Lonchura striata: one gene and its partner. The protein of the gene in region 2 binds, or shares a complex with, the protein of the main gene of each other region. Links are inferred from orthologs where the notes say so. Each region holds a gene or a part of one and is shown on either strand. Other genes may lie near its edges.

The links.
Region 1: EIF3E (region 2) and EIF3G share a complex: the UniProt entries of both Homo sapiens proteins name them as parts of the eukaryotic translation initiation factor 3 (eIF-3) complex. The link is inferred for Lonchura striata from reciprocal best matches to the Homo sapiens genes EIF3E and EIF3G.

What each region holds. Positions count from the first base shown.
Region 1 is NC_134623.1:1,634,113-1,646,073, reverse strand, and holds the start of EIF3G (eukaryotic translation initiation factor 3 subunit G), read right to left. Parts: upstream 5,065-11,961; 5' UTR 4,993-5,064; coding exon 4,973-4,992; intron 3,716-4,972; coding exon 3,666-3,715; intron 2,630-3,665; coding exon 2,537-2,629; intron 1,499-2,536; coding exon 1,410-1,498; intron 720-1,409; coding exon 660-719; intron 1-659. UniProt on the Homo sapiens protein: RNA-binding component of the eukaryotic translation initiation factor 3 (eIF-3) complex, which is required for several steps in the initiation of protein synthesis.
Region 2 is NC_134603.1:18,475,910-18,487,728, forward strand, and holds the start of EIF3E (eukaryotic translation initiation factor 3 subunit E), read left to right. Parts: upstream 1-6,020; 5' UTR 6,021-6,077; coding exon 6,078-6,167; intron 6,168-7,847; coding exon 7,848-7,962; intron 7,963-10,927; coding exon 10,928-11,045; intron 11,046-11,819. UniProt on the Homo sapiens protein: Component of the eukaryotic translation initiation factor 3 (eIF-3) complex, which is required for several steps in the initiation of protein synthesis.

The DNA of each region.
Region 1 (11,961 bases), on a different chromosome or scaffold from region 2:
TAAATCCCATTTTCCAGGTAAATCCCATTTTCCAGGTAAATCCCAATTTTTCCCATTTATTGCCCAGGTAAATCTCATTTATTTCCCAGGTAAATCCCATTTTTTTCCCATTTTTCCAGGTAAATCCCATTTCCAGGTAAACCCCATTTTTTCATTTTTTCCCAGGTAAATCCCGTTTTCCCCAGGTAAATCCCATTTTATCCCAGGTAAATCCAATTTTTCCCAGGTAAATTCCATTTTTTCCCATTTTTTTCCAGGTAAATCCCATTTTTCCCAGGTAAATCCCATTTTCTCCAGGTAAATCCAATTTATTCCCATTTTTCCCCAGGTAAATCCCATTTTTTTCATAGGTGGATCCCATTTCCCATTTCCAGGTAAATGCCATTTTTTTCCCATTTTTTCCAGGTAAATGCCATTTTTTCCCTTTTCCCCAGGTAAATCCCATTTTCCAGGTAAATCCCATTCTTTCCCTATTTTTTCCCAGGTAAATCCCATTTTTCCCAGGTAAATCCCATTTTTTCCCTTTTCCCCAGGTAAATCCCATTTTTCCCCAGGTAAATCTCATTCTTTTCCCATTTTTCCCCAGGTAAATCCCATTTTTTCTCTATTTTTTCCCAGGTAAATCCCATTTTTCCAGGAAAATCCCATTTTCCCCTGACCTTGCGCCGGGCCACGGCCTTGGAGGCTTTGCGGGTCTCGATCCGGAACGTTCGGATGATCTGGGAAAAACGCGGGAATGGGGCCGGGAAATCCCAAAAACCCCAAACCTGGGGCCCTCAGGGGACAAATTCGGGAATTCCCGGAGCACCTGAGCCCAAAAAACCCAAATTTGGGAATTCCTGGAGCACCTGAGCCCAAAAAACCCAAATTTGGGAATTCCCGGAGCACCTGAGCCCAAAAAACCCAAATTTGGGAATTCTTGGAGCACCTGAGCCCAAAAACCCAAATTTGGGAATTCCTGGAGCACCTGAGCCCAAAAAACCCAAATTTGGGAATTCCTGGAGGACCTGACCCCAAAAAACCCAAATTTGGGAATTCCTGGAGGACCTCAGCCCAAAAAACCCAAATTTGGGAATTCCTGGAGCACCTGAGCCCAAAAACCCAAATTTGGGAATTCCTGGAGGACCTCAGCCCAAAAAACCCAAATTTGGGAATTCTTGGAGCACCTGACCCCGAAAAACCCAAATTTGGGAATTCCTGGAGGACCTGAGCCCCAAAAACCCAAATTTGGGGCTCAGGTGCCGAATTTGGGGTCCAGAGGCGCCAAATTTGGGGTCCAGAGGTGCCGAATTTGGGGCTCAGGTGCCGAATTTGGGGCTCAGAGGTGCCAAAATTTGGGTTCAGCTGCCACATTTGTGGCTCAGGTGCCACCTGTGCCCACCTGTGCCCACCTGTGCCCCCGTGCCCACCTTGACCTTGCGCCCGTCCTCCTCCTCGCGGTACTCGGTGATGGTTTTGATGTTGCCGTTGACGACCTCCTTGGGGGACGGGAGGGGCCCTGGGGGGGACAGGTGTGCCCAGGTGAGCCCAGGTGTGCCCCCAGGGCTCCCCAGGTGTGCCCAGGTGTGTCCCTCCCATCCAGGTGTGCCCAGGTGTGCCCCCAGGGCTCCCCAGGTGTGCCCAGGTGAGTCCCTCCCATCCAGGTGTGCCCAGGTGAGTTCCTCCCATCCAGGTGTATCCCCAGGTGTGTCCCTCCCATCCAGGTGTGTGCCCAGGTGTGTCACTCCCATCCAGGTGTGCCCAGGTGTGTCCCTCCCATCCAGGTGTGCCCAGGTGTGTGCCCAGGTGTGTCCCTCCCATCCAGGTGTGCCCAGGTGTGTGCGTCCCATCCAGGTGTGCCCAGGTGTGCCCCCAGGGCTCCCCAGGTGCCCCCAGGTGTGTCCCTCCCATCCAGGTGTACCCCCAGGTGTGTCCCTCCCATCCAGGTGTGCCCAGGTGTGCCCCCAGGGCTCCCCAGGTGCCCCCAGGTGTGTCCCTCCCATCCAGGTGTATCCCCAGGTGCCCCCAGGTGTGTCCCTCCCCTCCAGGTGTGTGCCCAGGTGTGTCCCTCCCCTCCAGGTGTGTGCCCAGATGTGTCCCTCCCATCCAGGTGTGTGCCCAGGTGTGTGCCCAGGTGTGTCCCTCCCATCCAGGTGTGCCCAGGTGTGTCCCTCCCCTCCAGGTGTGTGCCCAGGTGTGTCCCTCCCATCCAGCTGTGCCCAGGTGTGTCACTCCCATCCAGGTGTGCCCAGGTGTGTGCCCAGGTGTGTCCCCAGGTGTGTCCCTCCCATCCAGGTGTGTGCCCAGGTGTGTACCCAGGTGTGTCCCTCCCATCCAGGTGTGTGCCCAGGTGTGTGCCCAGGTGTGTCCCTCCCATCCAGCTGTGCCCAGGTGTGTCCCTCCCATCCAGGTGTGCCCAGGTGTGTGCCCAGGTGTGTCCCCAGGTGTGTCCCTCCCATCCAGGTGTGTGCCCAGGTGTGTCCCTCCCATCCAGGTGTGTCCCCAGGTGTGTCCCTCCCCTCCAGGTGTGCCAGCGGTGCCAGCGGTGCCCTCTCACCTCCCTTGAGCAGCTCGGCCTCGGCGCTGGAGGCGCCCCCCAGGACCCCGGGCAGGGGCAGATCCTTCAGCAGCTCGCTGGTGATCACCTTGTCTGGACAGGTAAGGGGGCTCAGGTGGGCACCGGGCACGGTGACCTCACCTGGGCACAGGTAACCTCACCTGGGCTCACCCGGGCACAGGGAGCTCACCTGGTCACAGGTAACCTCACCTGGGCTCACCCGGGCACAGGGAGCTCACCTGGGGCACAGGTAACCTCACCTGGGCTCACCTGGGGCACAGGTAACCTCACCTGGGCACAGGTAACCTCACCTGAGCTCACCCGGGCACAGGTGACCCCTCTCACCTGGACCAGTCCCCCCAGCCCCTGGCACAGCTCTTTGTCCCCAAGGACACAGGTGCCACCCCGACAGGTGTGCCAGGTTTGACAGACGTGCCAGGTGCCACAGGTATCACAGGTGTGCCAGGTGCCACAGGTGTGCCAGGTATGACAGGTGTGCCAGGCATGCCAGGTGCCACAGGTGTGACAGATACCTTGAGTGCCACCCCCCAGAGATGTCCCAGGTGGCATCCGTGCCAGGTGTGCCCTGCCAGGTGTGCTGGTGCCAGCCCCACAGGTGTGCCAGGTACCACAGGTGTGACCGGTGCCACCCCCCACAGGTGTGCCAGGTGTCACAGGTGTGCCAGGTACCACAGGTGTGACCGGTGCCACAGGTGTGCCAGGTGTCACAGGTGTGACGGTGCCACCCCCCACAGGTGTGCCAGGTGTCACAGGTGTGCCAGGTACCACAGGTGTGACCGGTGCCACAGGTGTGCCAGGTGTCACAGGTGTGACGGTGCCACCCCCCACAGGTGTGCCAGATGTCACAGGTGTGCCAGGTACCACAGGTGTGACCGGTGCCACAGGTGTGCCAGGTGTCACAGGTGTGACGGTGCCACCCCCCACAGGTGTGCCAGATGTCACAGGTGTGCCAGTGCCACCCCCCACAGGTGTGACAAGTGTCACAGGTGTGACTGGTGCCACCCCCACAGGTGTGCCAGGTGTCACAGGTGTGCCAGGTGTCACAGGTGTGCCAGGTGCCACCCCCACAGGTGTGCCAGGTGTCACAGGTGTGCCAGGTGCCACTCACCATCCTCTCCTCCCTCCTCCTCCACCTGGTCAGCCCAGCTGGGCTTGGAGCTGTGGGGACACAACGGCCTCGGCTGGCACCTGTGCCACCCTTGGGTGCCCCTGTCCCCTCCTGTGCCACCCCCGTGTCCCTGTGCCAACCCAGTGCCACCCTTGGGTGCCCCTGTCCCCACCTGTGCCACCCTTGGGTGCCCCTGTCCCCTCCTGTGCCACCCCCGTGTCCCTGTGCCACCCCGGTGCCACCCTTGGGTGCCCCTGTCCCCTCCTGTGCCACCCTGGCTGTCACCTGTGCCACCCTTGGGTGCCCCTGTCCCCTCCTGTGCCACCCCGGTGCCACCCTTGGGTGCCCCTGTCCCCACCTGTGCCACCCTTGGGTGCCCCTGTCCCCTCCTGTGCCACCCCCATGTCCCTGTGCCACCCCGGTGCCACCCTTGGGTGCCCCTGTCCCCTCCGGTGCCACCCTTGGGTGCCCCTGTCCCCTCCTGTGCCACCCCCGTGTCCCTGTGCCACCCCGGTGCCACCCTTGGGTGTCCCTGTCCCCTCCTGTGCCACCCTGGCTGTCACCTGTGCCACCCTTGGGTGCCCCTGTCCCCACCTGTGCCACCCTTGGGTGCCCCTGTCCCCACCTGTGCCACCCTTGGGTGTCCCTGTCCCCTCTGTCGCCTCCCCCTCACGGCCCCGGCCCTGCCCGAAGCCCCCAGGACCCCCCGGGACCCTCCCGGGACCCCCCCGCAGGCCCCGTGCCCGGTTCCCGGTGCCGGCCGTCACTCCCGGTTCCCGCTCCCGGTTCCCGCTCCCGGTTCCCGGTGCCGGCCGTCACTCCCGGTTCCCATTCCCGATCCCGGTTCCCGATCCCAATTCCCAGTCCCGTTTCCAGCTGTCACTCCCGGTTCCCGTTCCCGGTCCCCATTCCCGTCCCCGTTCCCACTCCCGGTTCTCGGTCCCACCTCCCAATTCCCACTCCCGTTCCCGGTCCCAATTCCCAGTCCCGTTCCCGGTCCCAATTCCCAGTCCCGTTCCCGGTCCCCACTCCCGGTTCCCATTCCCAAGCCCGGTTCCCGATCCCAACTCCTGATCCCGGTTCCGATTCCCACTGCCGGTTCCAATCCCGGTCCCGGTTCACGATCCCAGATCCCGATCCCGGTTACGGTTCCCGATTCCCGATCCCAATCCCGATTCCTGTTCCCGGTTCCGATTCGCACTCCCGGTTCCGGTCCCGGTCCCCATTCCCGTTCCCCGTTCCCGGTTCCCGCTCCTCAATCCCCGCCCCCGTTCCCGGTTCCCGTTCCCGTCCCCGCTCCCCCTCACTCGTAGTCCCCGGCCGGCATCGCCTCCGCCTCCCTCACGCCGCCACACCGGAAAGGCCGCGCGGCACTTCCGGCCCCCCGCGCGCCACTTCCGGCGGGGCAGGGCGGGAAGCGCCAAGCGCCACTTCCGGCCCGCGCGCGTCACTTCCGGCGGGGCAGGGCGGGAAGCGGTTGCCGAGCAACGGCGCCATGGCGGCCGCGGCCTGCTCGGAGCGCGGGGCGAGAGTTGGTTATAACTTATAGGCGCGATTTATTTGAAGAAATATTACAACATATAAAAACTACATAAAGTATCGAGTTCCACCTTGTACAAAGCGGCCGCGGGGGGGTTCGGTACAATGCGATAAAAACGGGGCAGCGGGGCCGGGCCCTGAGGGGGGGAAGGGGAGGTTGGAGCAGCACAGAGAGAGTGGAGGGAGAGGAATTAAAATAAAAAGAAACAAAGAGAAACGAAAGGCGGATTGGGGAAATTAAAAGCGTTTTAGAAAGGAGGAGATGAAAAGCCAGAAAAAAAAATCTAGGAATTAAAAAAAGGGAAAAGGAAGAAAAAATGAAGAGGAAAATAAGGGGTTAAAAAAATCTTTAAAAAGAGGAGAAAAAAGGAAAATAAAGAGGAAAAAGGGGAAAGAAAAAAAGGGATAGAAAGAAGGGGGAAAAACAAGGGAGGGAAGAAAGAGAACAAACAAGAAAAAATAGGGAAAAAAAATGAGAGAAAAGGAGGAAAAAAAAAAAAGAAAAAAGGGGAAATAAATCAAAAAAGGGGAAAAAAGGGAAAAAAGACCAAAAGGCAACTGAAAGCAGAGGCGAAGGCGAAGCAGCCCCGGAGCCGAGGCCCCCCCGGCCCCCCCGGCTCCGGCCGGGCTCAGGCGGCCGCTCCCGACGGCTCCGGAGGCACCAGGACCGCGGCGAGACCTGCGGGACACGGGGACACTGAGGGGACATGGGGACACTGAGGGGACATGGGGACACCCAGGGGACACAGGGACACCCAGGGGACACAGGGACACCCAGGGGACAGGGACAGTGAGGGGACACTGGGACAGTGAGGGGACACGGGGATGGTGAGGGGACACCCAGGGGACACCCAGGGGACACCCAGGGGACAGGGATGGTGAGGGGACATGGGGACACCCAGGGGACACAGGGACACCCAGGGGACAGGGACAGTGAGGGGACACTGGGACAGTGAGGGGACACGGGGACAGTGAGGGGACACGGGGATGGTGAGGGGACACCCAGGGGACACCCAGGGGACAGGGACAGTGAGGGGACAGAGGGGACACCCAGGGGACACAGGGACACCCAGGGGACACCCGGGGACACCCAGGGGACAGGGATGGTGAGGGGACACAGGGACACCCAGGGGACAGTAGGGACACCATGGGGACACAATGGGATGGTCACTGAGCTGTCACTCAGTGGTCACCCGGGGTCACTCAGGGTCACTCATTGGTCACTCTGGTCACTCAGGGTCACTCATGGTCACTCTGGTCACTCATTGGTCACTCTGGTCACTCAGAGTCACTCAGCGGTCACTCATTGGTCACTCTGGTCACTCAGGGTCACTCAGGGTCACTCAGGGTCACTCAGTGGTCACTCTGGTCACTCAGGGTCACTCAGGGTCACTCAGGGTCACTCAGTGGTCACTCTGGTCACTCAGGGTCACTCAGGGTCACTCAGGGTCACTCAGGGTCACTCATTGGTCACTCTGGTCACTCAGGGTCACTCAGGGTCACTCAGGGTCACTCAGTGGTCACTCTGGTCACTCAGCAGTCACTCAGTGGTCACTCTTGTCACTCTGGTCACTCATTGGTCACTCTGGTCACTCAGGGTCACTCAGTGGTCACTCTGGTCACTCAGTGGTCACTCAGGGTCACTCAGGGTCACTCAGTGGTCACTCTGGTCACTCAGCAGTCACTCAGTGGTCACTCAGTGGTCACTCATTGGTCACTCAGGGTCACTCAGGGTCACTCAGTGGTCACTCTGGTCACTCAGCAGTCACTCAGTGGTCACTCAGTGGTCACTCATTGGTCACTCAGGGTCACTCATTGGTCACTCAGGGTCACTCTGGTCACTCAGGGTCACTCACCGGCCGTGTCCTGGCGCGCTTTGGCCACAGCGCAGGCCTTGATCTCCAGCCCGATGGCCTTGGCCAGGGGAGGCGGCACCGCATTGCCCACCTGGGGACAGACGGACAGACAGAGGGACATGGGGACAGGGGACAGACAGAGGGACAGACAGAGGGACATGGGGACAGACAGAGGGACATGGGGACAGGGGACAGACAGAGGGACAGACAGAGGGACATGGGGACAGACAGAGGGACAGGGGACAGACAGAGGGACAGACAGAGGGACAGGGGACAGACAGAGGGACATGGGACAGACAGAGGGACAGACAGAGGGACATGGGGACAGACAGAGGGACATGGGGACAGGGGACAGACAGAGGGCCATGGGGATGAGGGACAGACAGAGGGACAGACAGAGGGACATGGGACAGACAGAGGGACAGACAGAGGGACAGACAGAGGGACAGACAGAGGGACAGGGGACAGACAGAGGGACAGACAGAGGGACATGGGGACAGACAGAGGGACATGGGGACAGGGGACAGACAGAGGGACATGGGGATGAGGGACAGACAGAGAGACATGGGACAGGGGACAGGGGACAGACAAAGGGACAGACAGAGGGACAGACAGAAGGACAGAGGGACATGGGACATGGGGACAGGGGGACAGGGGGACATTGGGACAAAGTGAAAAGAGGACATTGGGACAAAGGGACAAACGGACAATGGACAATGGGACAATGGAAGAAGGGACAAAGTGACAAAGGGACAATGGGACAATGGGACAATGGACAATTGGACAATGGACAAAGGGACAATGGACAATGGGACAATGGGACAATGGGACAATGGGACAATGGGACAATGGACAATGGGACAATGGACAATTGGACAATGGACAAAGGGACAATGGACAAAGGGACAATGGACAATGGGACAAAAGGACAATAGGACAAAGGGACAAGAGGACAATGGAGAATGGGACAAAGTGACAAAGGGACAAGAAGTCGGTGCCCAAAGGGACAAAGGGGACAAGGGGACACCGTGTCGGTGCCACCGCGGTGCCGGTGCCACCCACCTGTCTGTGCTTGTCCAGGATGTTCCCGAAGAGCCGGAAGGTGTCGGGGAAGCCCTGGGAGCGAGCGCACTCGCGCACGCTGACCACGCGGTGCTGCTCGGGGTGCAGCACGCGGCCCTGCAACGGCACCAACCCGACGGGGTGGCCACCATGGACCACCAAACCCAACGTGGTGGCCACCACACCAACGTTCTGGCCACCACTGACCGCCAAACCCAACGGGGTGGGCACCACAGACCACCAAACCCAACGGGGTGGCCACCACACCAACGTTCTGGCCACCACTGACCGCCAAACCCAACGGGGTGGGCACCACGGACCACCAAACCCAACGGGGTGGGCACCACACCAACGTTCTGGCCACCACTGACCGCCAAACCCAACGGGGTGGGCACCACACCAACGTTCTGGCCACCACTGACCACCAAACCAAACGTGGTGGCCACCACTGACCGCCAAACCCAACGTGGTGGCCACCATGGACCACCAAACCCAACGTGGTGGCCACTGGAGACCATCACACCCAATGTGGTGGCCACCACACCAACATGCTGGCCACCACGGAGCGCCAACCCACCAACATGGTGGGCACCATGCATCACTAACCCAACGTGGTGGCCACCATCACTGAGCGCCAACCCAACGTGCTGGCCACCACGGTGCGCCAAACCCAATGTGCTGGCCACCACTGACCACCAACACAACATGCTGGCCACCACTGACCACCACATCAACATGGTGGCCACTAAAAACCACCACACCCAACGTGGTGGCCACCAGAGACCACCACACCAACATGGTGGACATTGGAGAACATCACACCCAACATGGTGGATGCTGGAGATCACCACACCCAACATGGTGGCCACTGGAGACCACCACACCCAATGTGGTGACCACCAGAGACCACCGCACCCAACGTGGTGGCCACTGGAGACCATCACACCCAACATGGTGGCCACCACTGACCACCACACCCAACGTGGTGGCCATTGGAGACCATCAAACCCAACCACGGGGCCACGGTGGCCATCGGTCGCCACCAAGCAACCCGCCCAACCGTTGGGACACCGACGACCGTTGGCCACCATCGAAGGCTGGGGCGCGGTGGCCACCGGTGACCCCCACCAACACCCCCCGCCGGCCGTGCCCGCGGCCCCCCGCCCCCACCTGCTTGCCCATGGGCTCGGGGTTGGTGACGGTGGTGCTGAAGAAGCCGTCCCACTCCAGGCGCCCGTAGAGGCCGGCCCAGTGGTTGTGCCGGTTGCCGGTGTGCGGGAGGCACCACGGGATGAGGGTGTTGAACTGCCGGTCGGCCGGGTCGCACGGCTTCCCTGGGAAACACCAAAACACCACCAAAAACCAAACCCCGGGAATTTCCGGGAGAACGGCCGCGCCCGCCGGGCCGGGGACGTGTTTCCGGAGGTCCACCACCCACCTTCGGCGCAGGAGCAGACGCCGCGCAGGGCGCCGGCGCTGCTGCGGCCGTTCTTGCGCTCGTGGTGGGTGTAGCGCAGCTTGCGGGTGGTGGTGCCGTCCGAGAGCCGCACCTCGATGTTGGGCAGGTCCCGCCAGTCGGAGCCGGGCGCCAGCGGGATGTGCCGCATCCGCGCCGCCACCAGCGCGCTCATGTCCTGCCGCCGCCGGCGACAACGGGCCGCGTTGGGCACCGCCGCCGGGGCCCGCGACGTCCAGCGCTCCCAAAGCCAGCATTCCCAAAATCCCCACCATTCCCAAAACCACCATTCCCAAAATCCCCACCACCAAAACCACCATTCCCAAAATCCCCACCGGTCCCAATTCCAGCATTCCCAAAATTCCCACCACCAAAACCATCGTTCCCAAAATCCCCACCGTTCCCAAATCCAGCATTCCCAAAATCCCCACCGGTCCCAAAGCCAGCATTCCCAAAATCCCCACCACCAAAACCACCGTTCCCAAAATCCCCACCACTACCAAAACCACCGTTCCCAAAATCCCCACCGTTCCCAAAACCACCATTCCCAAAATCCCCACCACCAAAACCACCGTTCCCAAAATCCCCACCGTTCCCAAATCCAGCATTCCCAAAATCCCCACCGCTCCCAAATCCAGCACTCCCAAAATCCCCACCGCTCCCAAATCCAGCATTCCCAAAATCCCCACCGGTCCCAAAACCACCATTCCCAAAATCCCCACCACCAAAACCACCGTTCCCAAAATCCCCACCGGTCCCAAATCCAGCACTCCCAAAATCCCCACCACCAAAACCACCGTTCCCAAAGTCCCCACCATTCCCAAATCCAGCATTCCCAAAATCCCCACCACTACCAAAACCACCGTTCCCAATGCCTCCACCATCCCCAAATTCACCATTCCCAGCACCTCCACCATTCCCAAATTCACCATTCCCAAAATCCCCACCATTCCCAAATCCACCATTCCCAACACTTCCACCATTCCCAACACCTCCACCATTCCCAAAATCTCCACCATTCCCAGCACTTCCACCATTCCCAAATCCGCCATTCCCAAATCCACCATTCCCGGTACCTCCCCCATTCCCAAATCCGCCATTCCCAAATCCACCATTCCCAGCACCTCCCCCATTCCCAAATCCACCATTCCCAAAGCCCCACCATTCCCGGCACCTCGCCCATTCCCAAATCCGCCATTCCCAAACCTCCACCATTCCCAGCACCTCGCCCATTCCCAAATCCACCATTCCCAGCACCTCGCCCATTCCCAAATCCGCCATTCCCAAAGCCCCACCATTCCCGGCAGTTCCCAGCAGCTCCCCCATCCCGGATTTGGGCGGCTCCGGCGGGATCCGGCGGCTCCGGGTGCCGTTCCCACCTTGCAGATGTGATCCCTGAGGATGGGCTGGTACTGGGAGCCGCGGATCTGGCGCTGGAACCACGACTGGGGCTCGCCGTTGTAGGAGATCTCCAGCGCCGAGGCGCCGTTCCGGATCTCCGGCAGGTCCGACATCGTGTCCCGCACCGTGATGGTGCGGAACGGGCCCGAGTACGTCCTGCGGGCACGGGATTCCCAACTCGCCATTCCCAACGCGGAATTCCCAACGCGGCATTCCCAACTCGCAATTCCCATCTCAGAATTCCTGACTCGCAATTCCCAACTCGCAATTCCCATCTCAGAATTCCCGACTTGCAATTCCCAATTTGCAATTCCCAATGCGGAATTCCCAACTCACAATTCCCAAATTGGAATTCCCAATGCGGAATTCCCAACTCGCAATTCCCAATTTGGAATTCCCGACTCAGAATTCCCAACGTGGAACTCCTGACTCAGAATTCCCAACTCACAATTCCCAATGCGGAATTCCCAACACGGAATTCCCAACTCGCAATTCCCAATTTGGAATTCCCGACTCAGAATTCCCAACGTGGAACTCCCGACTCAGAATTCCCAACTCACAATTCCCAATGCGGAATTCCCAACTCACAATTCCCAATTTGGAATTCCCGACTCGGAATTCCCAACGTGGAACTCCCGACTCAGAATTCCCAACTCGCAATTCCCAATGCAGAATTCCCAACTCGCAATTCCCAATTTGGAATTCCCAACGTGGAACTCCTGACTCAGAATTCCCAACTCACAATTCCCAACTCGCAATTCCCAATGCGGAATTCCCAACTCGCAATTCCCAATTTGGAATTCCCGACTCAGAATTCCCAACTCACAATTCCCAATGCGGAATTCCCAACGTGGAACTCCCGACTCGGAATTCCCAACTTGCAACTCCTAACACGGAATTCCCAACACAGAACTCCCAACGCTGAACTCCCAACTTGGAATTCCCAACTTGGAACTCCCAATTCAGAATTCCCAACTCCCAA
Region 2 (11,819 bases):
GGCAAGCAAGGCATGCAGTGGTTAAATTTGGGTATTACTTTAGAATCCTGTACTTAGGAGTCAAATTTAGGGTTGTGAATGTTACACATTTGCAGCCCTTATTTGAGCAATAGAGTATCCATAATGTGTCATAATTACTGAAGGAAAGATGACCAATAACAGAGTAATGAAATAAAAATTAATGCAGTAGTAAATAAAGCAATAATAAAAAGTTTACAATATAATAAAAGATGAAAACATAATAAAAATTAATTCCACAGAAACTGGTAAACTTTTGCAGGTCCTATCTCACATACATGAATGTGACAAACAATTATTTTACCCTCCCTTACTCAGAAAAAGCTCAGAGAATATCTTACATTTCAAGAAATGTGCCCACTTGCTACAAAAAGCTTAAAGTTTATAACCCTTTTACCAAAGTCCTCATGAAAAAAAAAAATCCTCTCAATTTTCTATGAATTAAAAAGGTTTTTAAAAGGTTTTAGGTAAATGTCTTAAGCTAAGATAGTTTCAAACTTCATTTCCTGAACAATGAAAAGGGAAGCAAATATTTAAATCCAAAGAAAGAAACTGGATCTGAAAGAGGTCACAAAACTCATGCCCATAACCAGATTTATATTAACTTCACATGATTTTCAAATTATTGTTTCAAAAAGTGTAGTGATATATGTATCACCTTCAACTCAGATTTTCATGTACAATCATTCTATGACTGCTCAATATTTCATAATTTAATCTAAACTGATCCAACAGTAAAGGGTAGAAAAAGAATACACAGTAAGCGCTGCTTACTGTTCATTGGCATAGAGAGACCTTTTCAGATGTGAAGTTACCAGAATCCAAGGGAATGGCCTGAAGTTGTGTCAAGAGAGGTTCAGCCTGGATATTAGAAAAAGGTTTTTCACCCAGAGGGTGGTTGGGCAGCCTGACAGAGTTCAAGCAGCAATTGGACAATGCTCTTGGGCACATTGTGTGACTCTTGGGTATGGTCCTGTGCAGGGCCAGGAGTTGGACTTGATCCTTGAGGGTCCCTTCCAACTCAGCTTGTTCTGTGATTCTGTGAAAATAATATTCACTACAAGTTGTTGCACATTCATTATACTGAAGCTTTTTCATAATAGCCTATTATTTTCCCCAAACATCCTGGGGATACAACATTTAAAGATATTTCACACTGGGAAATTTCACTTTTCCCCCTCATTTTTATTCCCCTTTTTTTTTTTTTTTTTTTTTTTTTAATCAAAAGAGGGAACAATTTCCAGTTATTTAATTAATGACTTATGGTACTTCTTAATGTATAAAGCTATTTTGAAAAATAACTTTAAAGCATACTTATTTTGAAAAGCCTCATTTTTTTCTCAGATCTCCAGCTCAAGTATACTTGAACTCCAGTGGTTTTTCTTCAAATCTCTCTCCTGTGAACAGCTTGGGATGGAAAGCAAAAATGGTTTCTTTCATGCTCTTCCATCATCGCCAGTAATAATGATCTAAGATTAAATTATGCCCTTCCTTGTTGATTCAAATACTCTGGGATAAAAAGCTTTACTTACAATTTCCTTTGCCTTGTTTTGTATATTTAAAGTACACTATGTCATACTTACAGAGCCAAATTCATTTATTCCTTAGCAATCCAGTGAAGCTCATGGAAGTATTCTGCAATTCCCAGGCATAGCTCTGCCTTACAAGCATTTAAAGTCTCTCTTGAAAGCACAGAATTAGACAAGCTGGTAACACTTGAGATGCATGTGTTATTTTCAAATAAAATACTTTCTTCTATCTTTTCTTGTTACCATGATGAAAATAATGAAAATTGTACTATAGGGTAGAAAGGAAGGGACCATTTCTGTGTAAGAGGTTGCCCTCTTCCTTCCTTTCATATTACTATATTCTTTAAAAAAACAAGGTAATAAACCAAGAGCAAGCCCATATCATATGGGTTTTTGAACAATTATCATTTTAACCCTATCATGTGTCAGTATATTATGCCTGATGTAACTTTTAAGAGGATACTAGTCAGCAGAGATATCTGCATTTGTAGGAGATTAAAACTTTTATTCCAACAGACATCTTGGAAGTATAAACCATGAGAAAGGGAATATTTTGCCTGACAAGTGGAGTGTAAACATAAGCCCCCTTTCCCTTTGAAATAACTCTTTTCACTTTGTCTTGTTCTTCCCAATCACCTCTGTGGAGGGAAAGGGAAAGTGTTTTATTTACCTGTTTTATAAAAATCTGAGTTTGGCTGGAACCTTGACAGAGAATATATTAGAACTGACTGACTGACTTCACTGGATTCAAATCATCAGTAAACCTTGCAACACAATAGCTTCATAAATTGTTTGGGGTGTTTTACAAGAGAAATAGTTCAAAAGCAACAGAAGACATCACACTAAAATTTAAGAATCAAGCCTAATATAGTCTAGAGCCCACTGGTAAAGTACCATCAGGTAAGCATTTCCCCCCTTGGCTTTTTAATATAACACAGTTTCAGTTCCGAAAAGCCTGCTTATCCTAGTTCCACTAGGAAAATGAAGAGTCACTCCACTAAGTTAATTATAATTACATTAGACAAGTCCTTCAATATTCTTAAACAAGAAAAAAATGTATCAAATAATTATGAAGTTATAATGAATCAGCTTTGAAAAGACCTCTGAGATCATTGAGTCCAACCTATGACCTAGCACCACTGTGTCAACTTGACCATGGCACTGAGCGTCAAATCCAGTCCTTTCTTAAACACCTCCAGGGACAGTGACCACCATCTCCCTGGGCAGCCCATTCCAGTGACTAATCACCCTTTCTGTGAAGAAATTATTCCTAAGATTCAACCTAAACCTCCCCAATAACAGCTTAAGACTGTGTCCTCTGGCCCTGTCCATTGTTACCTGGGAGAAGAGCCCAAACCCCACTTGGCTACATCCTCCTTTCAGGGAATTGTAGAGTGACTAGATCTCCTCAGCTCTCTCGGCCTCTCCCCATAGCACTTGTATTCCAGACCCTTCCTCATCTCCATAGCCTTTCTCTGGACTCACTCCAGCACCTCAATGTCCTTCCTGAACTGGAACTGGCCTCAGCACCAAGGTGTGGCTTCACCAGTGCCAAGAATAGGAGGACAATCCCTGCCCTGGTCCTGCTGGCCATGCTACTGCTGATCCAGGCCAGGTGTCATTGGCCTTCCTGGCTGCCTGGACACACCTGGCTCGTGTTCAGCTGCTGTCACCAGCACCCCCAGGTCCTTTTCCACTTGACCACATTCTGCTACTTGCATTTTGGACTCTTGTGTTTCCTCATTTCTTTTCCCCAGATAGTTTAAATAGCATGTCAACATAATCATGGTTTTTATGATGACTCAGCTGAATTATGAGATACCCTTTTTGTAGATTTGAACACTATCCAGAAAGAGTTGACAGCACCAAATTGCTCTAGATGATACATCCTTGGTTTTAGAAATATTTCTGTTTTAAGCAGTGTAAAAATATTTATGGAATGCAGGATTTAAAAAATGTTTTCAGACACAAAGTCAAAAGAAAAAGGATAGAAATATAATTTCTGAATTACAAATACCAAAAAAAAAAAAAAAAGCCCAAACCAAATTACATAAGGTTTGAATCATATCAAAAGATGTGGAAGAAGTTAATAGATTCAATTTCCCTTTGATAATGTGAGACAGAAAATACTTTCTTATGATTTCCTAGTGATTATTTACTTCTAACAATTCAAGGAATGTTGGATTCCACTGTCATTTTCACAATAAGATAAATGACAACCAATTATGTAAACAGAATCCATCAGATAAAATTTCCTCACTATTTAGGAATTATGAAATCAAAAGACTTAGCCCAAGCAAGATACATTCCTGTTGATTTATTTAGGATAATCTAGATAATTCTAGCCAAATGGATTTTATTTCATTAACCAAGCTAGCAATCTTAAGTACACTGGTGCTAAGAATATTAAGTACAGAATTTCCAGAAGGGAAGAACTTCACTAGGTTAGAGGACTTCAGCCTCAAGCCTGTTCTATGTCAAAAATGAAATTTGGCCTAGAGGTACTATGCTTTGTATAATTCCTCAGTCAGGTGTCTGTGCAAGAGTTCAAAATAAACTCACATTTCCTGTTATTCAGTTAAGACTGGCTAAGACTGTTTTGTCATGAAAGTTTAAATATATTTTAGAAAAATTTTACCAAGAGGGTGAGTATCTCACTAGATGATACAGCCAATGCAGTAATCCTCAGCACAGTGTATGTTTCACTGAGGGAATTTAAAAGAGATTTCCTGGTATTTTGCCTTGGCACAGTATTGTTTTAAGTCTTATGGTCTTTCTCTCCCCCAGCTAGTTGTTGACACCTTTTCTCTCATTACTGTACCTGTTTCTTTCAGACATCAACTAAAACCAAGCACTGCATGGGGCCTTGGATGCTTTAGCATTTTGTAGTGCTGAGGGTCTTCCACTGGCAGCTCTGTAATCTGACCGTCATAAGGAGAAACCAGTGAAAAGTTTGAACAGGTCTTGGTGAAATCCACACTGTTATTATGGGAAAAATAATACAGGAGGATAGTTTTCACCATTAGAGATTATCTATGCCATCAGTGATATGTAGGTATCAAAGTGAAGAGTATCTACAACTACTATGAAATAAATTAGGTTGTCTTGCAGGTAAAAAGGGATTCTTTCTCACAGATGATGTTCTGAGAAGAGTATTACTAATACAAAATTACACATATCACAGACTTATATGAACAATTGAGTGTCATGTAAAGAATTACTTAATTCATACTGCATACTTTTTTCCCCTTACAGAGCACCATTAAGATGTAATGAAATCCTACCTCTAAAAATCAGCCTGTCACATCCTTAATTCTATAGTTTTACATCTTTATGTTAAGGTGGGGAGAACATCACTAGCTGCCTGAATAATGGCTTAATAACTGTTATGACCTTCTTATTCCTCACCTCCCATATACATTTAAAACAAACCATCCAAGTCTAAAATTAACCTGTACTACAACTATACTAACTTGCTATTCCACATGAACAGCTCCTGTAGACATAGTCTGTAGTTATGTGAATTGCTAAAAAAATTACTATATCTCTGCTCATGAAAGGAAAAGTTTCCTCATGACAAAGGTTTTAATCATGCTTTATGAGATGAGGCTTGACTTACTGAACACAACTGTGTGTCCTGACAAAAATCACTAGAAAATTTATGGTGTAACAGGAAAAGACACCTTTTATCTTTCTGGTGAATTAACATGATAAATCACAGAATCATTTAGCTCAGGAAAGACCTCTAAGATCTAGTCCACCATTAAGCCATGTCCCTAAGTGCCACATCCAGACATTTTCTAAATACCTTCAGGGATGGGGACTCAAGCACTTCTCTGGGCAGCCAGTGCCAATTCTTCTACCATGACTACAAGTAATATGCAAGTTATTGGCAATATTACTGATTCTTCCATTTCTGTAGCTAAACGCAGCAATACATTCCTGCACTTGCTTGGAGTTCCCTGTGTAAGCCATTGTCCAGTAGCTCCCCAGCCTTTTTCCATCTCATCTGGCACAGCCTCCCCATGGAGAGCTTGGAAAGATGGCCAACATGGACCAACCCTTAACAACCTTTTCACTGGGTGGGAGCCAAGGTCAGCTTAGACCCCTTTTCAGATTCTCATGACCAGATTAGATCGAGATCAAGTCAAGCTGACACTCGACGCACAAAGCGTGTGGGCTGGACTGACAGCCCACAGTGCTTTCAGGAGATGTTCGCCCTCCAGGGATCGCACTCTGCCCCAGAGAGCCCGAGCTGTCCCCCAGCACTGGCTCAGCTCGGTGCCGCAGCCCCGCACGGGTGAGGGGGGAGGGGGAGAGGGAAGGGAAGGGAAGGGAAGGGAAGGGAAGGGAAGGGAAGGGAAGGGAAGGGAAGGGAAGGAGCCGCGCCCACCGCGCCCATCCCCGGCTGCTCGCCGCGGCCCTCGGCGCGCAGGCGCCGGCTCCCCGCCGCTGGGGGCGGGGCCGCGCAGGCGCAGTGCCCGCAAGAGCCGCGCCGCGCCTCCGCCTTTCCTCTCTCCCGGCTCCAAGATGGCGGAGTACGACCTGACCACCAGGATCGCGCACTTCTTGGACCGGCACTTGGTCTTCCCGCTGCTGGAATTCCTCTCTGTCAAGGAGGTGTGTGTTTCTCCTGAGGCTGAGGAAGCCGGCTGCGGGAGCGGGAAAGTGGCAGGCCGTGCTGCCAGCTGCCGGTGCTTCCCGCGGGCCGGGGCGCGCCGCGGCCGGGGCTTCCTCCCGCGGGCCGGGGCGCTGCTCGGGCGGGGCGCGGCCCGTGGGGGTTCGGAGCCTCCGCAGGAGGAGCTCGAGGCTCCTGTGCCGCGTGAGTCGAGGGTGAAGCGTGTGGGGCTGCCCGGGAAAGGACGAGCAGGGAGCAAAGCCCACAGGAGGCCTGAGGGAGCCGCTCCTCGATCACGCCGCGCAGCTCCTCGGCCCCTCGCTTGCGAGGCAGCACCGACTTCCTACGCTTTTTCCTTCCTCGGATTTAGTGTAGTGTCTGTCCCTCACCTATATGCGGAGAAAGGAGAAGTCAAAGCTCTCCCTTGCAGCCGCAGCCCCACGGCGTGGGACACCCTCGATAGCCCCGCGGCTCTTGGTGCTCGGGCCGTCCCTCTGCGGTCTGTGGGGTTACGCCAATGATACTAATTTTCTTTTGAAACCCATGTCATTCCGAATTTATGTTGGAAACAAATATAAGTCCCTTCTGGAATTATCCCTTATTGGTCTTCTTATGTATATTTTTAAGTTATACTGTTACACGGAACCTAGTTATGCTGGGGATAGCTCAGACGAGTGCTTCACATACTTTTGAATAAACTTTCATCCATCTAAACTATTTTAAAGTGGGAGAAGAATGCGTAAAGTTATATAAGTTTTGAATTTAAAGTAGGTCTTATTTTTAGCCTTCAGAAAGGAACTGATGAACCACACTCGTGCATTGAGACACCTTGACCTAGGAAGCTGTCAGGTCTAGCATGTGGAGTTTGCTTAATGTCTGTCATCTTGGGGGCATTTTTATGGTAGCTGAAGTTAATTAAATAGTTTATTTTGTGGTGTTAGTTTTTAACAGTACAATGTTCATAGCTGAATTAAACTTCTACAGATTCTGTATCTGCAATGTGGTGAGTTGTAATGCAGCTCTTGTGCAAATATGTTTTTGAGGAATATACTGGGTTTGGCCGTCACCTACATCTTCAAAATCTAACAGCAGTTTGTAGCTCACTGATAAATTATGGAGTATGAACGTTAGAAAACAATTTGAAAAGTTTTAAGTACGCTATTCGATTACATACTCTAAATTTGTTTTTATGCTATAGACCTAGCAACATATTTTAGGTTAATCTGCACTACAGTTAAATTGTGAGTTTAATCTTGTGCATCTTTTCTGAGATTCACTTTAGATAATTTAACTAGTCCTCACTGTTCAGCATTTTATTTTGTGGAAAGTATTCAGTACTTTGAAAGAAAGGTATGGTTAAAGATTTTTTTTATTTTTTAAATTTGTATGTAATTTTGCAATAGGAATTACTATTCCTGTTAAGAGACGAGTAATACTTACTTGACTTCTAATTAGCTTTTGAAGTACCTGCTTTCGTAGATAGCAGGAAATATTTGGTATTTTGTCAAGACTGTAAATGCAGAGAGGCTTTATGGAAAGTACTCTTAATTATAGAGCAGTGAAATTTGTTACTTAATTCAATTGTACAGAAGTCCATAAACTGTGCCATCAAAGTAATACATAATATGAATTGAAACTCCTCAACACTATTCAGATTACTCTGTTAATAATGCCTGTTTCAGATATACAATGAAAAAGAGCTGCTCCAAGGAAAACTGGATCTCCTTAGTGATACCAACATGGTGGATTTTGCTATGGATGTGTACAAAAATCTTTATTCCGATGAAATTCCTCATGGTAAGCTGCTCATTTAGATGTAAATCTTGTTTTTCAACCTTTCTGTCAAAAATAAATAACTAGTGGTAATTGCTTGTTGCATTCAAAAACTAGGGTACTATTTAACTTTGTCATTATCAAAAAGATACTGAGACAAGCAGAATGCCCTAATCCTGGGAAGTTTGGTTTTGTTGGTCTGTCAGGAACTTGACCTTTGAGTGACCTCATAAGTATTTCAATGCTGATTTGGTAATTTCAAGAACTTTAGAGGTGTTGTGCTGCAACTAATGGAGTTGCAGTAGCTTTTCATCTGTCAAACACTTGAACAATGATTTGGTGACTTTTTCTTTAAAGCATCCAGTATGTTAAGATTAGAGTTGCATTGTCTAAGTAATTCCATTGATTTGTCTGTCTGTGGCTGATTTTTAGGTCTTGAGAGAGAGAGATTTTTTTTTGAAAGTGTGTGTTTTCCTCAGTTTTGGCAATATAAGACTTGCTTCCCTAGGACAAAATATATTTAAACTTATAATGAAGGTGATGTCTTACTATCTTATCCGTGATTTTGATAACTACTCTGTTTGCTACTTAAATTTCTGTAATTTTGAGGAACATTTGGGAATGGGGAGAAAATAGATTATATACCTTTATCTAATTTCCATTCTTCATGGGTGTTTTGATTTTAAGAGTTTTCTCCCAGTTCTTTTTTATAATGGGTTGGGTGTTTCATTTTATTCATTTCTTCCTGACCTAGTCTTCCAATATCCACTGTCTTCCTATTTTTCCACCTTTTTTCCATGTTGGTGAATGCCTCATATTTTTTTAGGTATTGGGACTACAGTCTATTTTGCTGCATCTTAGGAATAAGAGACTTGGGTGCTGCTGCATTTTTCCTCTGGGTCTTGCTCTTTTCAGGCTCTTGAAGCTGCAGAGATGGCCACTCACCTCTCTGGAAGAAGAGAATTGATAGGCTTATGGACATGGGAGTCAATGTTTTGGCCAAGTCTGTGCTAGTGTTGGGTGGCTGTTGTTATGGGCATGAGTGCCAGCACTGTTATAGCCATGTGTACTGTGACACATGGGACTTTAACATGTAATGAGAACCAGAGGGTTTCACTTCTGTAACTAAAGAAACACTTGTGGTAATAGCTTTACCTTTAGGTTACTTAGCAGTCCTACTGATTAAAAAAGTCAGGCTGTATCAAGGCTATAACAAAAATCACAGAGCTGAATAGATATTCCTCTTTCTTTGCCTGCTTCAGCCTTTTTAAACTGTTGAATATTACTGTTATCAGTAATAATTAAGGAGTAAAATACTAAAGAAGTAAGCAATACAAGAAATAGTAATTTTAGCAGACTTCCACAAAATAACTACTCCAGATGTCTTCAGAATTCTGATTGTAGCCAGTTAGTAAAGCAGATTACCTTAGGGTATAACTTCATAAGGTCACAGCTGCAAGAAAGTTGAATTAACTTGCTCACTTGGAGACCTCTTCCTTCATCAAATACCAGCAATTTCCACACTTGTTTGAAAAGAGTATAAGAAAAACTACCTTTCAAGATTTTACATCATCAGTTTGGCAGGTTGTTTTTTTTTTGTTTTTTTTTTTTTTTTTTTTGTATAATGACTTACTGTTGTTTGATGTGTGGCTTTTATTCAGTTAACATAAGCAGAGCTAGTTCTTTGACACATTGTTCAGGGTGTTTGATTGCACAGCTTTCTATGCAAAGACCTGAGATCTTTCTGGTATGTGTATCATCTTGTATCAGTGCTTATCAGAATGCGTGTGTGGACTGGTGGTTCTTACTCGTGGAACTGCTGGCATCATTAGAAGTTTACCCTTTTTAAGATTTCACTATTTAAAGTACTCAAAGCTAAGTTCACTTACACAGTTATAATTGGAAATATCCCTGCATGAATTAGAGTTCCTTTTGTCTTGTCTTCCATGAGATCGACTTAAAATTACACACCCAGGAGATGTCACAGGAAAACATTTTTGTATTCATAGTAAGTCAACTGAATGTTTTTTCTTTTATCTGTTTCTTCTTCCTCTTTTATAATCTCAAGAGTCAACTAAAGGTGGAGGTAATTTCTCCTTACTGAAACACTTCCTGTCAGGCAAGTTGTTCTCATATTTAGGTTGGGTCACCATTATGGTGTTAACCACCTTGGATGTCCCGTTCAAATATCTGTGTAGTCAAATCATTAAAGAACTGTTGACTCTGTTTACTGTGGCATTGAGTGTTCTGGTGTGTGGCTCACCTTTGGAGTTTCCTGCATTTATCTCCTGGGATTTAGTCTTGGCTTCTCTGATCCTGTGTGTTTTACATAGCCAATGTCAGGGTGATTTTTTGTGTATTTTTTTTAAATATATACACTTTTTTGGATTTTAAGTCTTCATTTTATTGCATTGCTGTCACTTGGTAAGGAATTTGGGGTCTGTGCAAAACAATCACCCTAAAACTTAGTTGAATTTCCTAACAGTTTTTCATCAAGGGCTTAATGTTTCCATTAAGGACACAGCGTTCAAAATCATAATTTTGCAGGTTGAGCTGCTTGAAATTTTTCTTGTTCCTTTTTAGTTAAGTATTCTCTAAATGTTCTTTCAGAACCTGATCATCAGTAAGAAGAAAATCTATCTTTGTATATCATTGGATTGTTTCGTTTTTTGCGAGTTTATTTGGATTAAGTGAACTTAGTTAAAGGTTGCTTCTCCCTTAGTGGAAGCCTGAAGATACCTCATGTAATACAGACTTTGCTCCAGCTGTACCTGCTCTCTGGTGGCCTCCACACAGGAGAAAGAGCCAAATGTTAGAAGTTTTTACTAAGTTACAGAATTGTTATACACAGCTGGATTTGAAGCTTGACTGAGAGGACAGGTCACGTAGGAATTGCAAAGATGTGTTGAAGTGTCAGCACCATGTAATTACAGGGTGGTTCATGTAAAAACTTAAAGCATTATATTAAAGTATTTTTGTTTGTGTTCAGCTTTGCGTGAGAAAAGAACAACTGTTGTTGCACAGCTGAAGCAGCTTCAAGCTGAAACAGAACCTATTGTCAAGATGTTTGAGGATCCAGAGACTACGAGGCAAATGCAGTCCACTAGGTAATTTCTAACGTAATTTGTTGGGATGGCTTGTTGGTACCTCTCAAGTGCTGCTGCTGAGAATGCTTTCTGTGTAGTAACTGCAAGAAAAACATTTTTATTTTCATACAGTATTTAAGTAGGGCTTGTGGTCAGGTAAGTGAAATTGCTGGACACAGTTTGCTCTTTTCAGTGCTTTTCCCTGTTGTGCAAAAAAGGTTTATTGTTTTTAATGTTCCTGAATCAGCTTGGTACAAATGACAGTCATCATCCAGTACAGTCCAATCACAGATGATTTTGTTGGCTTTGATTTTGTTTGGGGTTTTTTGAGGGAAACTACAGGCTGAAACAGTTTATATTTTCTCTTCTGCCTTCCAAAAAAGGTTATGGAGTGTCGTATTAGTCTGGGAGGCCTGGTGGATGAGCATCCTTTCATCCTCGGAGCACATATTTCTTCATGGTGTTCTTTGCTTTTCCCACTTAATCTCGCTATCTCCAAACTGTTCCAACTTGTTGGTGTAAGGTTGTGCTCATGTCTTTTTAAGATGCATCCAATTTCTTTTAAATTTTCTTATGGGAGTAATTAAAGTAGAATGAGTTTGTCTGCACATTGTATCTAAGGTCTGTCAGGGTTTCACCATGGTTAAGCTTGAACTGGGCTCTGTAAGAAAGAATTCAGCTGTAGTCACTGAGGAGTAACTGCACCTTCAGCAGAGAGGTGGGCAGGTATTTGTTTGGCATAAATTCTCCTTGTTTCCTTTAGATAGGAATCACTGTTACTGCTGTTGTGTGTCT